2 linked regions of the Macaca fascicularis genome follow. The protein of the gene in region 2 interacts with the protein of the main gene of each other region in a pairwise test. Links are inferred from orthologs where the notes say so. Each region holds a gene or a part of one and is shown on either strand. Other genes may lie near its edges. The genes, in order: gamma-crystallin C and CRYAB.

What was found.
Region 1: the proteins of CRYAB (region 2) and gamma-crystallin C interact in binary tests that used the Homo sapiens proteins (3 or more experiments, as listed by UniProt). The link is inferred for Macaca fascicularis from reciprocal best matches to the Homo sapiens genes CRYAB and CRYGC.

What each region holds. Positions count from the first base shown.
Region 1 is NC_088386.1:104,090,159-104,099,091, forward strand, and holds gamma-crystallin C, read right to left. Parts: upstream 5,925-8,933; 5' UTR 5,681-5,924; coding exon of another isoform or gene 5,672-5,680; 5' UTR 5,603-5,671; coding exon 5,330-5,602; intron 4,358-5,329; coding exon 4,085-4,357; 3' UTR 4,019-4,084; downstream 1-4,018. Other genes in the region: gamma-crystallin D, read right to left, coding at 74-316, 427-435. UniProt on the Homo sapiens protein: Crystallins are the dominant structural components of the vertebrate eye lens.
Region 2 is NC_088388.1:110,834,158-110,843,090, forward strand, and holds CRYAB (alpha-crystallin B chain), read right to left. Parts: upstream 5,208-8,933; 5' UTR 5,162-5,207; coding exon 4,961-5,161; intron 4,171-4,960; exon of another isoform or gene 4,102-4,170; intron 3,880-4,101; coding exon 3,757-3,879; intron 2,423-3,756; coding exon 2,219-2,422; 3' UTR 2,080-2,218; downstream 1-2,079. Other genes in the region: HSPB2 (heat shock protein beta-2), read left to right, coding at 6,267-6,360, 6,868-7,322. UniProt on the Homo sapiens protein: May contribute to the transparency and refractive index of the lens. Has chaperone-like activity, preventing aggregation of various proteins under a wide range of stress conditions.

The sequences.
Region 1 (8,933 bases), on a different chromosome or scaffold from region 2:
ATGTTTAACTTTTTCTTGAAACCATCCAGTGAGTGTCCTGAGGGCCTGGGTCCTGACATGAGGCTGCACTCACGTGGGGGATGAGGCGGCAGGAGCGGACCGAGTCGCTGAGGCCCATCCACTGCTGGTGGTCGGCATAGTCGCCGCGGCGCAGGAAGTACTGGAGGCCAGAGTAGTTGGGCAGCTCATAGAGCATCCAGCAGCCGCTGTCCACGCGCACGGAGTTGCAGCGGCTCAAGTAGGGCTGCAGGTTGGGGTGGTCGCTGCTGCATTCGTAGTGGCGGCCCTGGAAGCCCCGGTCCTCGTAGAGGGTGATCTGCAAGGCAAGGCGAGGCAAGGCGAGGGCTCACAGGCCTGCCCCTGCCCCAGTCTCCGGCCCCCGCGATACAGGAAGCTCCCGGGGCTCGGGGCGCGGGCTGGGCTCACCTTCCCCATGGCTGGCTGGACGCGCGGCGGGGCTGAGCGGGTGGGGCGGCGGCGCGGCGGGGCTATGTAGCGGGAGGGCTGCTGCGTTGGCAAGAACCGCACAAAAGGGGCCCGCGGAGGGGAGCAAGGGCATTTTCGTGTTCTCTTTTTATTCTTTGCTGTCCTAGTCCGCGGGGCTCATTGTGGATTTTGGTCCCATTCTCTCTGGAGTGTTCGGATTACTATCATTGGCTGATGCTATTGAGAATGTTTGTAAAAAGGTAATTTGGGACATTGTCTATTTATAATAGAAGTGGAGCTTCAGCTATTTCACATATAGTTCACGCTTTTGTTTGTATAGGTTGGGGAAAAACAAAAAAAGTTTAAGTCGGGGAGCAGAAAAAGCAAAGACTCTTAATAAGGCAAATATAAATTAATCTGTCAGAACTACAGTATTACTTACGTGCCACAATGCTGAATACTGATTGTTAATAGGAAGGAAATGGGCTTAACTGAATGTTGAAAATTTCAAGTTTAGTCCTTTAAGAGAACGTCGTCATGAAAGGGTGTAAGAAATTGGAATATTTTATCAAGAGAGTTCACAGAATTTTGAACCTTTATTATGGTAAAACACACAGCAAACATGAATCTTCGATATTGGGTCTGATCTTGTTACAGTTATGCCTGGAAGGAGCTGAGAATTAGATGTTTTTCTCTTAGCTAATGGTGGTGCCGTGATTCAAAAGAGAGAATAGTTAGTTCTAAGAGGCTTAATCTCAGAAAGAACTAAAAAGGGAAATATCTACGTTTGAGGAAATTAGAAAAGTAATATGTGCGAAACAGAAAAACATGATCTCTTAGCTTATTATTAAATAAAACCAAATTCCTAAGAAACTTATTTCTAGTGGGATCTAGAATACATCTTTGTTCTCTGAACGAGCGAGAGTACACAAGGCCTTTGACTCAGAGGAAATTAATTGCATGAACACGAAGGGGAGCTATGGCTGGAATGATGCAGGGAGAGGAAGGAATAAATGTCTAGAAGCTGGACTCGAGGAAGACTTTAGAAAGTATTTATTGGCCTGGAAGAGAACAGTTTGATGGACTGGAAAGAGCACTGGAGTGGAAAATGACCTGTGTCCAGCTTCTTTCATGTTCAAAGAATTGCTCACAGCCCTGTGTCAACCCATGGAAGTACTTTGTCTTGTCTTTGAGTCATAAATCTTTGTAAGTGGTATTTATGAATTAACCACCAACTATGTGCAATACAAATTATTTTAATTCTTATTTTCTGGCTGCTGCTGCTTTTTTTTTTTTTTTTTTTTTGTATTCTTTCTATGTAGAGCTCTGCAGTGGTAGTGAAATACCTTTTTCTTTTGTTTTGTTTTGATTGTTTTCTTCATCCCCATTGCTACATATAGCAGGCTCATGGTAGGTGCTCAAAAATTGGTAAGGATCCTAACTCAGAGAAGTTGAGTATCTAGTGGCTAATAAATGGAGGATATTGAAATGGAAAATAAACTTGTGGCTGGGTGTGGTGGCTCACACCTGTAATCCCAGCACTTTTGGAGGCCAATGTGGGAGGATCACTTGAGCCCAGGAGTTCGAGACCAGCCCTGGCAACGTAGTGAGACCCCCTTTCTATAAAAAATGAAAAAATTAGCTGGGCATGGTGGTGCACTCCTGTAGCCTCAGCTACTTAGGAAGCTGAGATGGAAGGATCATTGCTTGATCCTGGGAGGTCGAAGCTGCAGTGAGCTGTGTTTGTGCCACTGCACTCTATCCTGGACAACAGAGTGTGACCATGTCTCAATAAATAAATAAATAAAATAAACTTGCAGTATGAGCCGGTAGTCTCACTTCTAGGTCACTATCTTTTTAAAATTATGGCACGTCAGGGTTAGCGTATATGTACAATGTCATTCTTTAGCGTATATGTACAATGTCATTCTTTGCAGCATTGTTGGTCAAAGCAACATTGGGAAAGCCCAGTCACTTAAGTGGACAAATGGTGAAATGGTCTAAGGGACTTCCAAACAACAAGATGCAATTCAACCATGAAACAGAATAAGATACTGACCTAGATATATGTCCATATTATAATACATTTTAAAAGCAAGTTGCAGACTAATATATATAGCATGATTCCATTTTTGTAAAGAAAAGAAGCATGTGTTTTATGAGACAGCTATATAAACAAGGCGAAAATCCCAGAAGGGTGCTCACCAACTATAAACAGGAGTTAGCAATGAGGGGCATCAAAAGGACTCCCTTCTACTTCTTTATAGAATTTGTACAGTAGTAAGATTATGGGAGGACTTTTACTTTGAAGGGAAATTTTTAAGTTAAAATAAATTAATTCTCTACTGATGAAAAGACTTGCAATTGCTTTCTTTTCTTTCTTTTTTTTTAAAAAAAACTTTTTAGGGCTTTGCTTATGAGCAAGCAGATTTTAGTTTAATCAAAGGCTCCAGAAATTATGGCTTTCTTTAATGCACCTTTAAATTTGGGCCCGTTTTGTAGTTACAGGACTTATTTATTTATTTTAACTTTTATTTTAGATTCAGGGGCACATATCCAGGTTTGTAATACAGGCAAATTGTGTGTTGTGGGGGTTTGGTGTACAGATTATTTTATCACCCAGGTGATAAGTATAGTACCTGACAGGTAGTTTTTCGATCCTCTCCAACCTGGAGGTATTTTGTTTTCTGTTCCTGTGTTAGTTTGCTTAGGATATTGGCCTCCAGCTCCACCTATGTTGCTGCAAAGGACAGGGTCTCATTCTTTTTTTATGGCTGCATAGTATTCCATTGTGTGTATGTACCACTTTGTAAAACCCAGCCTACCATTGATGGACATTTAGGTTGACTCCACGTCTTTGTTGTCGTGAATAGTGCTGTGATGAACATATACACATGTGTCCTTATGGCAGAACGATGTTTTTTGTAGTTACTTTTTATGTTTGGGGTACACTATACCATGCAAATCTATTTAAAAGATTGATGTGTATCTCTTATTAATTTATTTGCAATAGCTGGTCACCATGAAACTGATGTGCAGTTTCTGTAATTAACACAGCATTTGGGCCAGGGGTAGTACTGACAAAGAGCTACAGTCCCGGACAGGAGTCATTTTCAAAAGGAGATGAATGGTCTTTAACTTTGTTCAAAGGTACGGCAGTGGCCGTGGTGGCTCTGGCATTACTAATACAATACTGTGCCTGAAAGTAAACAAAAGTACAATCCTTTGTATAGTCTAATCAGGCTGTTGGCCAAGTTAAGTGTGCCCTCACCACTCATCTGACTTTACCTTTTGTCTGACCCACATTTTTGGTTAGAAGGAAAATTCCGAACTATTGTTCCTCAAGGTACTTAGTTGAATGCCTCCCTTCTCGCCAGTCAGCCTCTCCCAGGTCTCTGGCATTGCCCTGCCTTTTCTTTCTCAGGCAGGCTACACCCTGCCTCCACCCTAACATCCGAGGCTTGTTCAAACTCACTCTACCTTGAAGCTCTTCTCCAACAGGCCCCGTCTCTTGCCCCATTCACTTAACTTTTGACAAGGAAATTTAAAGGTGAACTGATTTGCACAATGAAAGAACGACAGAAGTCAGCAATTGCCAATAATGCAGACTAAATCTTTATTAGGTTCCAAAATGGGAAATTGGTAGTGTTAAGCTATTTCAGTATAAATCCACCACTCTCCGCAAAGAGCCAGCCTTAGCATCCATGGCCCCCCAGTCCTGGCACCGCCTGTACTCTTGGGGCCTCAGCAGGTATTGGCGCCCCCGGTAGTTGGGCAGCTCGTAGAGGACCCAGCAGCCCTCCAGCACGTGGAGGGAACGGATCTCGCTGAGGTGGAAGCGGTCCTGGATGCTGGGGCAGTCCTCACTTAGCTCCATCATGAGGCCTTTGTGGTCTTCTCTCTCGTACAGCCGCAGCCTGTGGGAGCCTGTCTACTCGGTCCGCAGAAAGAAGGATAGAGAAAAGCAAATGAGTCTCTTCCGGAATTTGTCCAACCAAAGAACAGATGAACTTGGTAGGGTGGGGCATGGAATTGTCAATGTCAAATTTAGACAGTGTAAAATGTAGATTACTGTGGATGCTGCGCATGGATCTGTCTTCCACTAGCACCTAAATACTGCTATGCTCATTTTCTTTTTGACCTGAAATTCATTCTTATGTAGGAGATGGAATTTTTAAGAGGTTCAAACGCTGAGTTAGAATCCATCAAGAACTCAGATATCTTGATTCCTAATTACCTGTGTTAATTCAAACTACATTTCGGGGAAAAAATAGAAATAGTTTATTTTGACTAGTATTCTTTTAGTAAGAGTATTATCTCGCAAATTTATAAACATATAAATTTACCACTAAAGTAAGATTTAAAAAATCTTGTACTTCAGTGTAAAGTTAATTTAAATAGTCATTTGGAATGAGAATTTAACTGATTTTCCAAATTAAGAAAAATTACCTTTTCCAAAGTTGGACACAACCTTTGAATAGCCTATATTAACAATACAGCTTTGAAGGTTTACTTGTCCACAGTGGAACCTATCTAATTAATTCATCAGAAATTCTTTTTCTATAGGCAAAACAATTTGTTAAAAATACCGTCTTTGTATGCCCAACCAGCTTCCCATTTGCAAGTTTTGTTTTATATCCCATTTGATATTACATTTGTTACAGACCACTTTTAATTGACTTATTGGTAGCAAAAATTTAAAGTAAAACGGATTCTCCCTCTAAGTGGGTTCTTCCTTACATTTCTCTGCTGTTTTTGTCCATGTTATCTATCTGGCTTATGCAGGTCTCTGATGTCCATCTAACCCTTAGGAGTTTTTAAATGCAAACCTCCCTCCCTCTAACCCACATTGACCATACAGTGGGGACACTCCGGCGGCATGATGGAAATCTAGAAAACTCACCTGGGGGATGAGACAACAGGAGCGGATGGAGTCGCTGAGGCCCATCCATTGCTGGTAGTCAGGGTACTCCCCTCTCCGCAGCAAGTATTGTTGACCTTGGTAGTTGGGACGCTCATAGAGCATCCAGCAGCCACTTTCCACCCGGATGGAGTTGCAGCGGCTTAAATACGTCTGCAGGTTGGGGCAGTCAGTGGTGGATTCGTAGCTGCGGCCCTGGAAGGCCTTGTCCTCATAGAGGGTGATCTGCAAAGGAAGAATCGTTCCAAATTGCATTATTTGCTCTTAACAGGCATTATATAACGGCAATTTTTTTTTTCATTTTATTTTTTGTGTTCTGCTTACCTTCCCCATGGCTGGTTGACACGGATGATGCGAGTTCAGTGTGATGGGGCCTGCGGCCGCACAGCCAGTCTATATAGCAGGATGGCTGCTGCGTTGGCAAGAACAACACAATAGGGGCCCTCGGCGGTAAGGGGATTTTACGCATCTCTTTAACATGCTGCATTCACTGGAAATGATTGTAGATTGTGTCGTTGTTCTCTGGTATATTCTAACGCTGTCCTGCACATACTGCTCTGTGTTGCTTTTATTTGGATTGTTACTGTTTTCTAAATTTATCTGTGCATCAGTCTGAACTTTTGACCCGAAATTCATGGCTCTCTCTATATGATTGAGTAATTTCCTGTGAATTTTCTGGGAAAGATCTATGCCATTATAGAATCGCTCCAGGATTCCAGAGAGGTTGTTGATGTAGAATGCCACAAACACTGACTCATTTCCCTGGATGGTAGAGACTGCTGTACCTTAAATTTTTGTCTTTACGCAGTTTTCCAGTCCAGGGCAGGACACAAATCTAGATTCATGTCTTGGCTAGTTTTGACTTCGTTAACCCAATGCTTTAAGACAGCTCTTAACCTTGCCTTTCGTGGGCACGTCATCTAACTAGAAATCAGTCCCTGGTGGTGAACTTATGATAACAAGCAAGGGAAAGGTTTCTGTGGTCACTGGGCCTGAGACTGAGAAGTACTGTATCCTACTTTATAGATTGCTTTCCCTTTTTCAAGCGTGAGGGAGGCCGTAAAGCTTCACAGGCAAGAGCGTGAGCTTTGGACTCAGGCCACCTGCACTCAGAAGGCCCAATGATTAGCTCCATGGCAAATTACATAACCACTCAGAGCATGAGTTATCTCATGGACTATAGTCTGATTAATAAGAAATAAAGTGAGACAAGAGGGCAGCCTCTGACATTCAGATGCTGGCCTGGCACTCACAGTGAGGACATGTTACTCCCCTGCTAGACATAAACAGTCTCACAGAATAACAACTTCAGACAAGGCTACTCTGAGACCATGATGAAATGAGATACAATAAAGCCACTTCTTAACTTTGCCTAAGCGCAGACAAAAACAAAGTCAATGCTCCACTCTCAAAATCCCAAGCCCTCACTCTCTCAGCCAAAATGATTAACTGCTACTTCTTTATGGATTACAGGTTTATCTGTGTTCTAGTCTCCCCTCCCTACGGGTAAGATTTCTTGAGATAACTAATCACAAAATTAACCCTGCTTTCTGCTAACATCTAATCTAGAGTGAACTTCAGATTTTTAAGATCCTCCCCCAAATCACACAACTGAAGTGCAAATCCTATTAACAATTTCTTTATAAGCTCTCTACTGAGACACTCCATGCTTCCCCAAGGAGAACTTACTCCCTTGCTGCAACAAGTAATAAGCTCAACTTGTTTAAAGACAGGTGTGTCCCTGGTGGCCTTTAGCTAAAGGATATTGACATGAATAAGTGGGATTATGTGTATAAAGCATTTGGCACATACTTGGCACAAATGAACACTGAATATATGTTGTTATTAGTAATAGAGTGACATCGTTAAGGCTGACTTTATCCTGTTTATCTCTCTCAAAGGTATTTAATCCTTTCAAAGATTCCTGAAAAAAATTTATCCTCTGTAAAGCCATTTTGTGATTAAAGAAAAATTAGGCTTGGAAGGGACTTCAGAAACCATCAGGCGGTTTTCAAACTCGAGTGTGCCTAAGAATCACCTGGCATGTCAAAACCGCAAATTACCATCTTGACCTTTTGGCCAAATCCTGCATCATTAGATCAGGAGAAGACCTCAGAACCTATATTTTTATTTTTTATTTTATTTAATTTATTTTATGTTTTGAGACGGAGTCTCACTCTCTTACCCAGGCTGGAGTGCAGTGGTGCGATCTCAGCTCACTGCAGCCTCCGCTTCCTGGGTTCAAGTGATTCTCCTGCTTCAACTTCCTGAGTAGCTGAGATTATAGGCGTGCGTCACCACATGCAGCTAATTTTTGTATTTTTAGTAGAGACAGGGTTTCGCTATGTTGGCCAGGATGGTCTCAAATTCCTGACCTCAGGTGATCCACCCAGCTCGGTCTCCCAAAGTGCTGGGATTACAGGCATGCGCCACCGTGCCCAGCCCAGAACCTATATTTTTAATAAGCACCAAATAGTTCTTGGGCCAAAACACTGCTGTGGTTTATCCCTTTATATTTTGACAAGGAAATCATGTATTTTAGCCATCCCCAGGCAATGCCTTATTAGGAATTGTACTAACATTCTCTTTATTCTATTTATTTATTTTTTGAGACAGAGTTCTGCTCTGTTGCCCAGGCTAGAGTGCAATGATGCAATCTTAGCTCACTGCAGTCTCTGCCTCCCACACTTAAGCTCAAGCTCCCACTTCAGCCTCTTGAGTAGCTGGGACTATAGGTGCATGCCACCACACCCAGCTAATTTTTTGTATTTTCTTTATGTAGAGACAGGGTCTCACTATGTTGCCCAGTCTGGTCTTGATCTCCTCAAGCAATCTGTTTGCCTCGGCCTCCCAAAGTGCTGGGATTACAGGCATGAGTCACTGTGCCCTGCCTAACATTCTCTTTAGACCTAAAGGCAGATGTGCTCTCTGCTTTGTAGCACTCTTTCTTGTTCTATAAAGTTTCATATGTACACAGTGAGAGAATCAGAGCAGAGATACCAGCACTTAAATTAGAGCACTGGTAAGAAGACAGGAAAAGCAATAAAGGGGCCAGAAAATGCATATCCCAGAACGTTTCTCTTGTTCCAGAATGGCATAGTCTTGTATTTCTCCAACCTTTTTTCAAATCTTTCTCCTTCTCTCCTCTGCCCCAACTACCCCCCACCCCAAAACCCCTGCCATTGTAGCTGCCTTACATAGGGTCTTATCGTATCTCAGCTGGACTTTCAACAGCCTCCTGACTGCCCAGTCTTATCTTCCTCCAAACTGCACTCGGCCAGATGCTGGAGTGATGAGAATCAAAACACATCAAGTCATGCTGTTCATTTGCTTGAAATATTTCACAGCCTCCCATTGTCTCCAGGATCCAATATTGATCCCTTAGCATGGCATCCTAGACCTGGCCTCCTCTGTCTGTCCCCATGCTTTCTGTTTGATCACACCAAACCACTTGTCATTTCCCAAATGCACAACATTATTTCATGTTGTTCTTGTTTTTCAAAATATTGATCCTTCTCAATGAGACACCAGTTTATTTTTCAACCAGAGAAATTTTGCCCTTTCTTCAAGTCTCAGCTCAAGCATC
Region 2 (8,933 bases):
TCAAAACAGCTACAGTAATCCAGGCATCACATTCTCATGCTCCGACATCCAGAGCAAGGAAAAAAAAATCTCTCTCTCTTTCTCTCTGAATCTTTTTGAAACCTTTTCTTAGTTTAGAAACTTTTTCTAGAAGCATCTCCAACAGACTTCCCTCCTGCCTCATTTGCCATAATTGAGTCACAGGCCTTTCAAAAATAATATTGAAAATCAAGAAGAGGATTTCCCTGCTTGATTTGGACTAGTCAAGATAGACCTCCTTTGGCTGGAGCTTGAGTTCAGTTCTCTGAAGCATATGGCTAGGAAGAATATGGTGTATACCTAAACCAATCTGGGGTAATGTTGGCAAGGCTGAAGGTGGTAAATAGCTGTTGGTTAGGCAGCCAACAGTGTCTGCTGCACAGCCACAAAAATTAGCTGTAAACTTCTGGCTAGATCACAGTATTTCAGACTATTAGGAAGTTGTTTTTTAAGAGAAAGCGTTTTTGAACCTGTATAGATTTGCAATTTATGTTGTCCTAGCTCCATACCCCTGCATCATTAAATTTTTTTATTTTTAAGTTTCCAATTTATTTATTTATATTTTTTGTTTTACTTGGTATAGTCAATTTTTCATTTTAGTCATTCTAATAGAGGCGCAATGGTATCTCATTATGATCTTTTTTTTTCCTTTGTTTTGTTACATAGGTAAATGTGTGTCATGGGGGTTTGTTATAAAGATTATTTCATAACCCAGGTATTAAGCCTAGTATCCATTAGGTATTTTTCCTGATTCTCACCCTTCTCTCACCTTCCATCCTCCGAGAGGCCCCAGTGTGTGTTGTTCCCCTCTATGTTATAAAAAAAATTTAGGCAATTGTTTCATGTAGAATATTTCAAAACCCTGGTCAGTCCCCAAACTGACTGATTTCTGATTTTGCAAGAAATCAGAAATTAGCTGGAAGCTGCTGAAGAAAAAATAAAAGTTGTCAATAAACATTTATACCAGATCACCTACAGCAGTCCTGTTTATCAAGTGAATCAGAAGTTTTGTCCAGACCCACAGAAATGAAATGGAGGGTTGTTTTTTCTTTTGGGGGGGATTTTTTTGCATAGTGGTATGTCTTTAAGCTAAATAATGGAACCACTTATTGATTGGTTATTAATTGTAATTCTAAAACTTAACTATTATGTGGTAGGTCATTGAATTGGATATTTCCTGGCCTTAGGTTAGTAGGTGTTTGCTCGATAATTTAGACCAGGGGTCCCAACCCCTAGGCCATGGACTGGTACTGGCCTGTGGCCTATTAGGAAATAGGCTGCACAGTAGGAGGTGAGTGAAGCTGAGCTCCTCCTCCTGTCAGATCAGTGGTGGCATTACATTCTCATATAAGCATGAATCCTATTGTGAACTGCACACGTGAGAGATCTAGCTTGTGTACTCCTTATGAGAATCTAATGCTTGAATCATCCCGAAACCATCCCCTGCTCCCCCGGGGCCACGGGAAAAATTGTCTTCCACAAAACCAGTCCCTGCTGCCAAAAAGGTTGGGGGCCACTGATTTAGCCTATACCTCAGAGCTTGTTAGGTGATAATCAGCCAAGTCCTGCTTATTGCCCTTGTAAATCAGCTTAAGGCAATACTTATCAATAGGAAAACGTCAAACAATATTAGGGTCACCATGTCTTCCCTGATGATGTAATTAATTTTAGAGATGTAGTAAGGCCTTTTATGTAGCATTATCCAGAGTTCATTCAGATGTGTTCCAGTCCTTTAAACTGAGGGCTAAAATCAAAGAGGGCAGAGACAGAGTAACTAATATTCCTTGAACTCTGCCAGGGGCTTTTCCTGCTTCTTCTCCTTAATTTACTTCCTATAATAGCTCTGTACAACTCAGTAACCCATGTTATAAATGGAAAACCTGAAGACCAGAAAGGTTAAGCAACTTGCCTAAATTTATATCATTAGTAAATGGTGGAGCCAGTCATTCTGACTCTAAAATCCTTGGAGCCCTCTAAATCATAATGCAATCATAAATAGATCTGTGGTATCCGTACATTTATTTAAAAGTGTGTGGAATATTCAAACACAAGACAGTTATCTGTTGCTGAATGATATTTTATTAGCTTGATAATTTGGGCCTGCCCTTAGCATTAATAAGCTTCAGCACTAGTCACAAGACTTTCATTCACTGGCGGGGAAACTTTCTTGTTTTAAAAAATGCAATTCAAGAAAGGGCATCTATTTCTTGGGGGCTGCGGTGACAGCAGGCTTCTCTTCACGGGTGATGGGAATGGTGCGCTCAGGGCCAGAGACCTGTTTCCTTGGTCCATTCACAGTGAGGACCCCATCAGATGACAGGGATGAAGTAATGGTGAGAGGGTCCACATCAGCTGGGACCCGGTATTTCCTGTGGAACTCCCTGGAGATGAAACCATGTTCATCCTAACCCAAAAGAATGAGGAAAGAGGCAGAGAGATAAGAATATGAACTACTATCACCTGCCCAGAACTCAGGCATCCTGATTTCCCCTTAGGTGAGACCAAATGCCATGACAACATAGGAAAAATAAACAGTGCTTTGTTTCAGGGTTGTGGCTAAGATGAAGTTACCTAGGTAGTCACTCCTACCAGTGAGAATCTGAGAAGTCTGAAACAGTACAACACTTCATTGTTTTTCAAACCCTGAGGCATAGATATGTTTAGGAGTATTTCCCAAAGGTTTAGATAATGTTGACTGGGCCTACAGAATTTGGAATCTCATTTAGAATCTGAGTCCCTGAGGAAGCCCTGAAATTGTCCTGACTCTTCAGGAATGTCCCAGAAGGTTCCAGAACAATAGGACTGCTGCTGGGGGAAAAAAAAAAAAAAGACTCCATCCAAGGAGACTATGACCCAAACCTAAATCATATGAGCAAAATTGAAACAGCCTGAGGACATTACTAAGGACAAACTGTACTGGTTGACGCACAGGTTCTGAGCTATCGCTGAGCTATCGTTAATTGGTGAGAAGGAATTTTAAAGCCCTCTTACAAAGTCATGAAAAGCTGTTCCATTCGTCAGAATTCCCCCAAAGAGTAGATGACCTTAACCCGTATGCCTGCTGACTCTCAAGCATGTAGCCAAACAGGCTCTCATTAACTGATTTCCGCATGGGCTATAGGGGATTAAAGACTGAGCACAGCTCTGAAATTTAGACAAACCAAGTAGTTCAGCATTAAGATGGGCTAAAGAAGAGACATGGATTCTTGCACAGCTAACAGAGAATTCACAACTCAAGTGCCTTTAGGGTACCTGTAGTTAATGTAATTATGCAAAGCAACTAGGTGTCTGACAGCCCTATACCTAAATCAGTGGTCCTCAACCTTGACTGTAGATTAGAATTACCTTAAAAAATGTTGATGCCCTGGGTCCCACCCCTAAAAATTCTGATTTAATTGGTCTGGAGTATGCCTGAGCATTAGGTTTTTTGAAAGTTCCCCTGGTGATTCTAATGTGGCCAAGATTCAGAACCTCTGGCTAAGATGGGGCATCAACATCCCATCATCCCATCTAAGGCGATCAAATCAAACAAAGACCACATCTCTGGCCATAACAACAGTAACAACAGCAATAGGTCTATCCCTAACTTAGTCTTCTAGACATTGATTTGTAACCCCTGATCTAGACTATTATAGCTTGGGACTGGAATGTAGCCAGCCTCCAAAGCTGATAGCACTACCTGGACTATTACAGTATACACTGAATGAATGAGCAGAAAACAAAAACCAAGCTACATACCTGGCGCTCTTCATGTTTGCCATGCACCTCAATCACATCTCCCAACACCTTAACTTTGAGTTCCTCTGGGGAGAAGTGCTTCACATCCAGGTTGACAGAGAACCTGTCCTTCTCCAGGCGCATCTAGAAATAGCAAGGTAAGGGAATGGGACGGGAGAAAGATGGCGAAAGTACTCATTATACTGGTGTTGTCTTATTCTGCAGAGTTGCTTTCTGTCCAGGTAATTCATCCTTCTCTTTTCTGCTTTAAAATATCCCCTTTTTAAATAAACATGGCTCTCTGCTTCAGGGAGCCACCACAGTGATACCTAAGGCTCATGGTGATCCGACCCAAACTTTATTTACAGGGACAGAGAAGAAGACAGATCACCCAGGGGACCAGTCGCAAGGATGGGTGCAGGCCTGGCATCTGCTGCCTCTCTGGCTCCGATGCCTGGCTTTGTGGTTTGTCTGTGAGACAAAGGCCTCTTCTTCTGGCTCAGGTCTCTTTGCCAGTTTTCCACCCACCCAATCTGGAATGTTCTGCTGGTCCTGCTTGTCCTTCCAAAGCCCTTGCCCACTCATCTCCTGTTTACTCACACTCGAATATTTTTAAACCAGAGCGTTATCTGTGACAGCTTCTGTCAACCTTATATGTTCACCCTGTTCTCTCACCCTCTTAGGACGAGTGGGGGTCCCTATATTGTTTCCTCATAAGGCTTGGTTGGACCCAGGCCAATGCCCTGTCACAGCCCTGAGAAACCCAGAAAATCACAGAAGAGGGAATAAAAAGGCAGAAAATGCCCATGAGGGTGAACAGCTCAGGCAGGGTGAGGCAGGGCTCTCTCCTGGCTCTGACACCTGAGATGGTAAAATTGGTCAAGAGTCCATGGTGTTAGAAGAGATGAGCAAAGGAGTTTGAAGGCAGCTCTTTCCCTGCAGATTGTTATGAACCAAACCAGAAAGGGGTACCCTGCAGAGAAGTTAGGGGATGGAGGATGAACTTGACAGTGCATGAAAAAAATGTAATAAATGGGATACAGAGGACCATCAAGTAGAAACAGGTGACGGGGGAGGGAGGAACTAGCAACCTCCTCATTTTTCTTCACATTTGGATACACATGTGCCTAAAATGGTTTAGGCAGGAAAGGAGAGGAAAATGGATGGAGAAGTTTACAGGAGGTTCCAGTAAGGACTCTCCCATTCTAGCAGTGGGGAGACTCACCTCTGAGAGTCCAGTGTCAAACCAGCTGGGTGCCCGCAGGAAGGAGGGTGGCCGAAGGTAGAAGGGGCTCAGGGAAGTAGACGTCGGGAAAAGATCAGACTCCAACAGGTGCTCTCCAAAGAACTGGTCAAAGAGGCGGCTGGGGGAGTGGAAAGGAAAGAAGGGGCGGCGGATCCAGGGGTGGTGGATGGCGATGTCCATGGTGGCTAGGTGAGTGTGGGGGGTCAGCTGGCTGGTCAGCTCCTTCAGCTGCAGCTACAGCCAGCCCCTTATATATGCAGTCTTGTGAAGCTTCTGGAATGGTGATGTCAGGGGTTTTATTATCCTAGCTCACCGCCGGTTCATGGAGACTTGTGATCGGGGATTTGGCAGTGTGACACATACCCAGTACTCACTGAGCTAAGAAAAGAGAAACACAAACACGTCTGAGCCGGCCAGTGACTTGTCATGGTCTTGTTTCACTAGCTTTCTGTACACACCCAGTGGCACCCACCCCCACCCCAGTTCTCTGAAGCTGGTACAGAGTCAGGAATCCCAAGCAGGCACGCGGGTGGGTGGAGGGGCAGGCGGTGGAGTGTGCCCCTCCTCCTCCTCCTCTTCAGTCCTGAATGCCAGGGGAATCAGGCCAGCAACTATCTTGGGCCTGGGCAGGGACTGGAATCTTCCTAGGCTGGGCCCCAGGGACATTAACTCTTTGTGAGTCCTTGGAAGAGAGCAGTGATGGTCAACATGCGGGTACCAGCCATCTGCCTCCTGCCCTGGGTTGACCTGGGTTTAGGAGAGGACTCCGACATCTGGGCAGAAAGACCCCACTCCCTGAAAAAAAGAGCAGAAAGATTTCTTGCATCTTTCATCCTATGTGGCTCTCAGAACATTAAATCCAGGAGTGCTTTAGGAATTGGGTGCACAGTGCCGGCCTCCAAGGAGGAGAAAATGAGGTGTGGAAACGTGCAAACCGTTTGTGAGGGTTTCAGCGAGGCCTCTTCATGCCCCAGGCACCACCAGCTCCCCCTTCTCAGCTCGTTCCTAACCAGGACCCTCAGCTGTCCTCTCAGGCCCCCTGCGACAGCTGAAGAGTGTGCGGGGGAGGGGACTAGGGGTCCAGGCGGCGCTGGTCACACCCTCGTTGCTCTCACTCAGGGCCCCCACTCCCCGCCCCTCCCCCCCAGAGGCTCGGCACTATTTTGGGTGGTGTCGACCCCGCCCCCACCTCCTATCGAGCCCTGGCTCTCCGGGCAGCTGGAGGGGTCGCGCTGCGCCTGTTGGGGCTGCACCTCGGACCAGGGCTCCCGCTGCATCTGCAGCCATGTCGGGCCGCTCAGTGCCACATGCCCACCCAGCCACCGCTGAGTACGAATTTGCCAACCCGAGCCGCCTGGGTGAGCAGCGCTTCGGAGAAGGTATGGCACAGATGCCACCCCCTTGCCTCCCACCCCCACCCCCTGAAATTCTGGGCTGACCTCCCAACGTTACTGGCCTCCACCCCACTCTGGGCTTAACTGATCTCCTGGGACCAGCCACCCCCCACCCCAGACTCCCTCTCATCCCCTCCAAGCAGAGCTCTTTCCCATTCCTGCTGACCTCAAGACACACTTGGTGCTTGCAGTGCTGCTACCTGCCCTTTGCCCGCCTGGGTGTGCCTCCTTGTCCCCCTTCTATCAACCAGGCCATTTGGTGCCTCCTCCTCCCCCTGCTTCTCCTCCTCCTCCTCCCTTTCCTTTCCGTTCTCTTTCCCCTCTTCCCAGCTGCCTTCTCCTCCTAGCTACTGTGTGGCCTCCTTCCCGTTCCCCACTCCTCCTGACTCCCCTCTTGCTCTTCCCAATCCCTCCTCTCCAGATTTCCCATTTCGCCCCTGTGCCAGCCTCATCCTCCCTCATCCTGCCTCTTGCGTTCTCTCTGCCCCTTAGGCCTCCTTCCAGAAGAGATCCTGACCCCCACACTCTACCATGGCTACTATGTCCGGCCTCGGGCCGCCCCAGCTGGGGAGGGCAGCAGGGCAGGGGCCTCCGAGCTTAGGCTCAGTGAGGGCAAGTTCCAGGCATTTCTGGATGTGAGCCACTTTACCCCAGACGAGGTGACTGTGAGGACTGTGGATAACCTGCTGGAGGTGTCTGCCCGGCACCCCCAGCGCCTGGACCGCCACGGCTTCGTGTCCCGAGAGTTCTGCCGCACCTATGTCCTGCCTGCTGATGTCGACCCCTGGCGGGTCCGAGCTGCTCTCTCCCATGATGGCATCTTAAACCTGGAAGCGCCTCGGGGTGGCCGACATTTGGACACAGAGGTCAATGAGGTCTACATCTCCCTGCTCCCTGCGCCTCCTGATCCAGAGGAAGAGGAGGAGGCAGCCATAGTTGAGCCCTGATTGCCACAGACCCAGCACCCAGCAAATCCCTCTCTACCTCCCATGGTGATATGGGCAGCTGCCCACCACTCCAGAGGTAGCAGCGTCCTTGGGGGAAAGGAAAGGTGCATGGTCTACAATGTATGGTTTGGTCCCATGGGACGTGTCATAGCCTTGGTTTAGTTTTGGGTGGAGCCGAATAAACCCAAATCTCAGGGCCTTGTTTGTGCTGCTCCCTATTCTGTGGCCGGCAAGCTGGGATGGGGAGGGAGGGAGGCGGTCACAGCCAGCTAGACAAAAAGTTCCTCAGTTTGATGTGCCTAACGTCATAGGACCCTGAGCTCGCACTTGGATACTGAGATCACACCCGGAAGCTGATGCTGGCTCCAGATCAAATTCCTAGCCGTGATTTTCTCACAGTGCAACAAAAGAGAGAGTGATCCTGGGAGAGAAAAGGGATATGCCATCCAAACAGCCCAGAGGGCACTGTCTGAGCTGGTGATTAGAGACACAAAAACAAGGGTCTCCAGACTGTCTGGCCCGTTTTGGGTAGGGGCTGGGAAAATGGTTTTTGGCTGATGAGAGTTGCCTAAAGCCCTGGAGTAAATACTTTGTTTTCATGTACTAAGGTCTGTCCACTGAAATGGTCACTGATTTTGAGAGCCCGAGTATGCATACACAGGGGCACAGACACAAAGCCTCTCCAATGATCATGGAACCCCATTACCTTCCCGTCCTCTGGGGGTATGGTGTATTCAGAAAAGCCTGAGGGTCTGTCCCCTCAGTTATTCTCTGCAATCAAGAGAACATCCAGCTAGGTGATTTGGGGGAGGTGTCCAAAACGACCTTCCTGCCTCCGAATACATATTTTATTAGGCTGTGGTAGATACCTACAATTCTTCCATTAAAGTAGTTGTTTCTTGGCTGGGTGCAGCAGCTCACACCTGTAATCCCAGCACTTTGGGAGGCCGAGGCAGGAGGATCACTTGAGCCCAAGAGTAAGAGACCAGTCTGGGCAACAGAGTGAAACCTTTGTCTTTACAAAAAAATAAAAATTAGCCAGACATGGTGGTGCATGCCTGTAGTCCCAGCTACTTGGGAGGCTAAGGTGGGAGGATGAGCTAGGGAGGTTGAAGCTGCAGTGAGCTGAGATTGCACCACTGCACTCCAGCCTGGGTGACACAGTGAGACCCTGCCTCAAAAAAATTAAATTGAATTAAATTAAGTGGTTATTTCTTAACTTTTGGGAGTTATAGACCCTTCTGAAAATCTGACAAAAGCTATAGCTGCTCTTACCAGAAAAATACATATGCTCCCAAATTTGGCAATACAACTTGAATAGGTTCCCACAACTCTTCAGACCCATTCATACATCCTTCTTAGGGATCTGTGGACCTCCAGGATAACAGAACTCACTTGAGGAATTCAACTTCTGGTTGAAAGATTGCTGTCTATTAAAAATGAAAGCATGCCCCAGAGAAATAACATTTGATATATTTAATTGTTCATTCATTCATTCAATATTTATCAAACCTCATGTAATACACCATGGGGAATATATATTGTAAATATAAAAACTATTAGCTTTTATTGTGAACTTTCCGGAATCTAGTTGAGAAGAAAAATAATAAG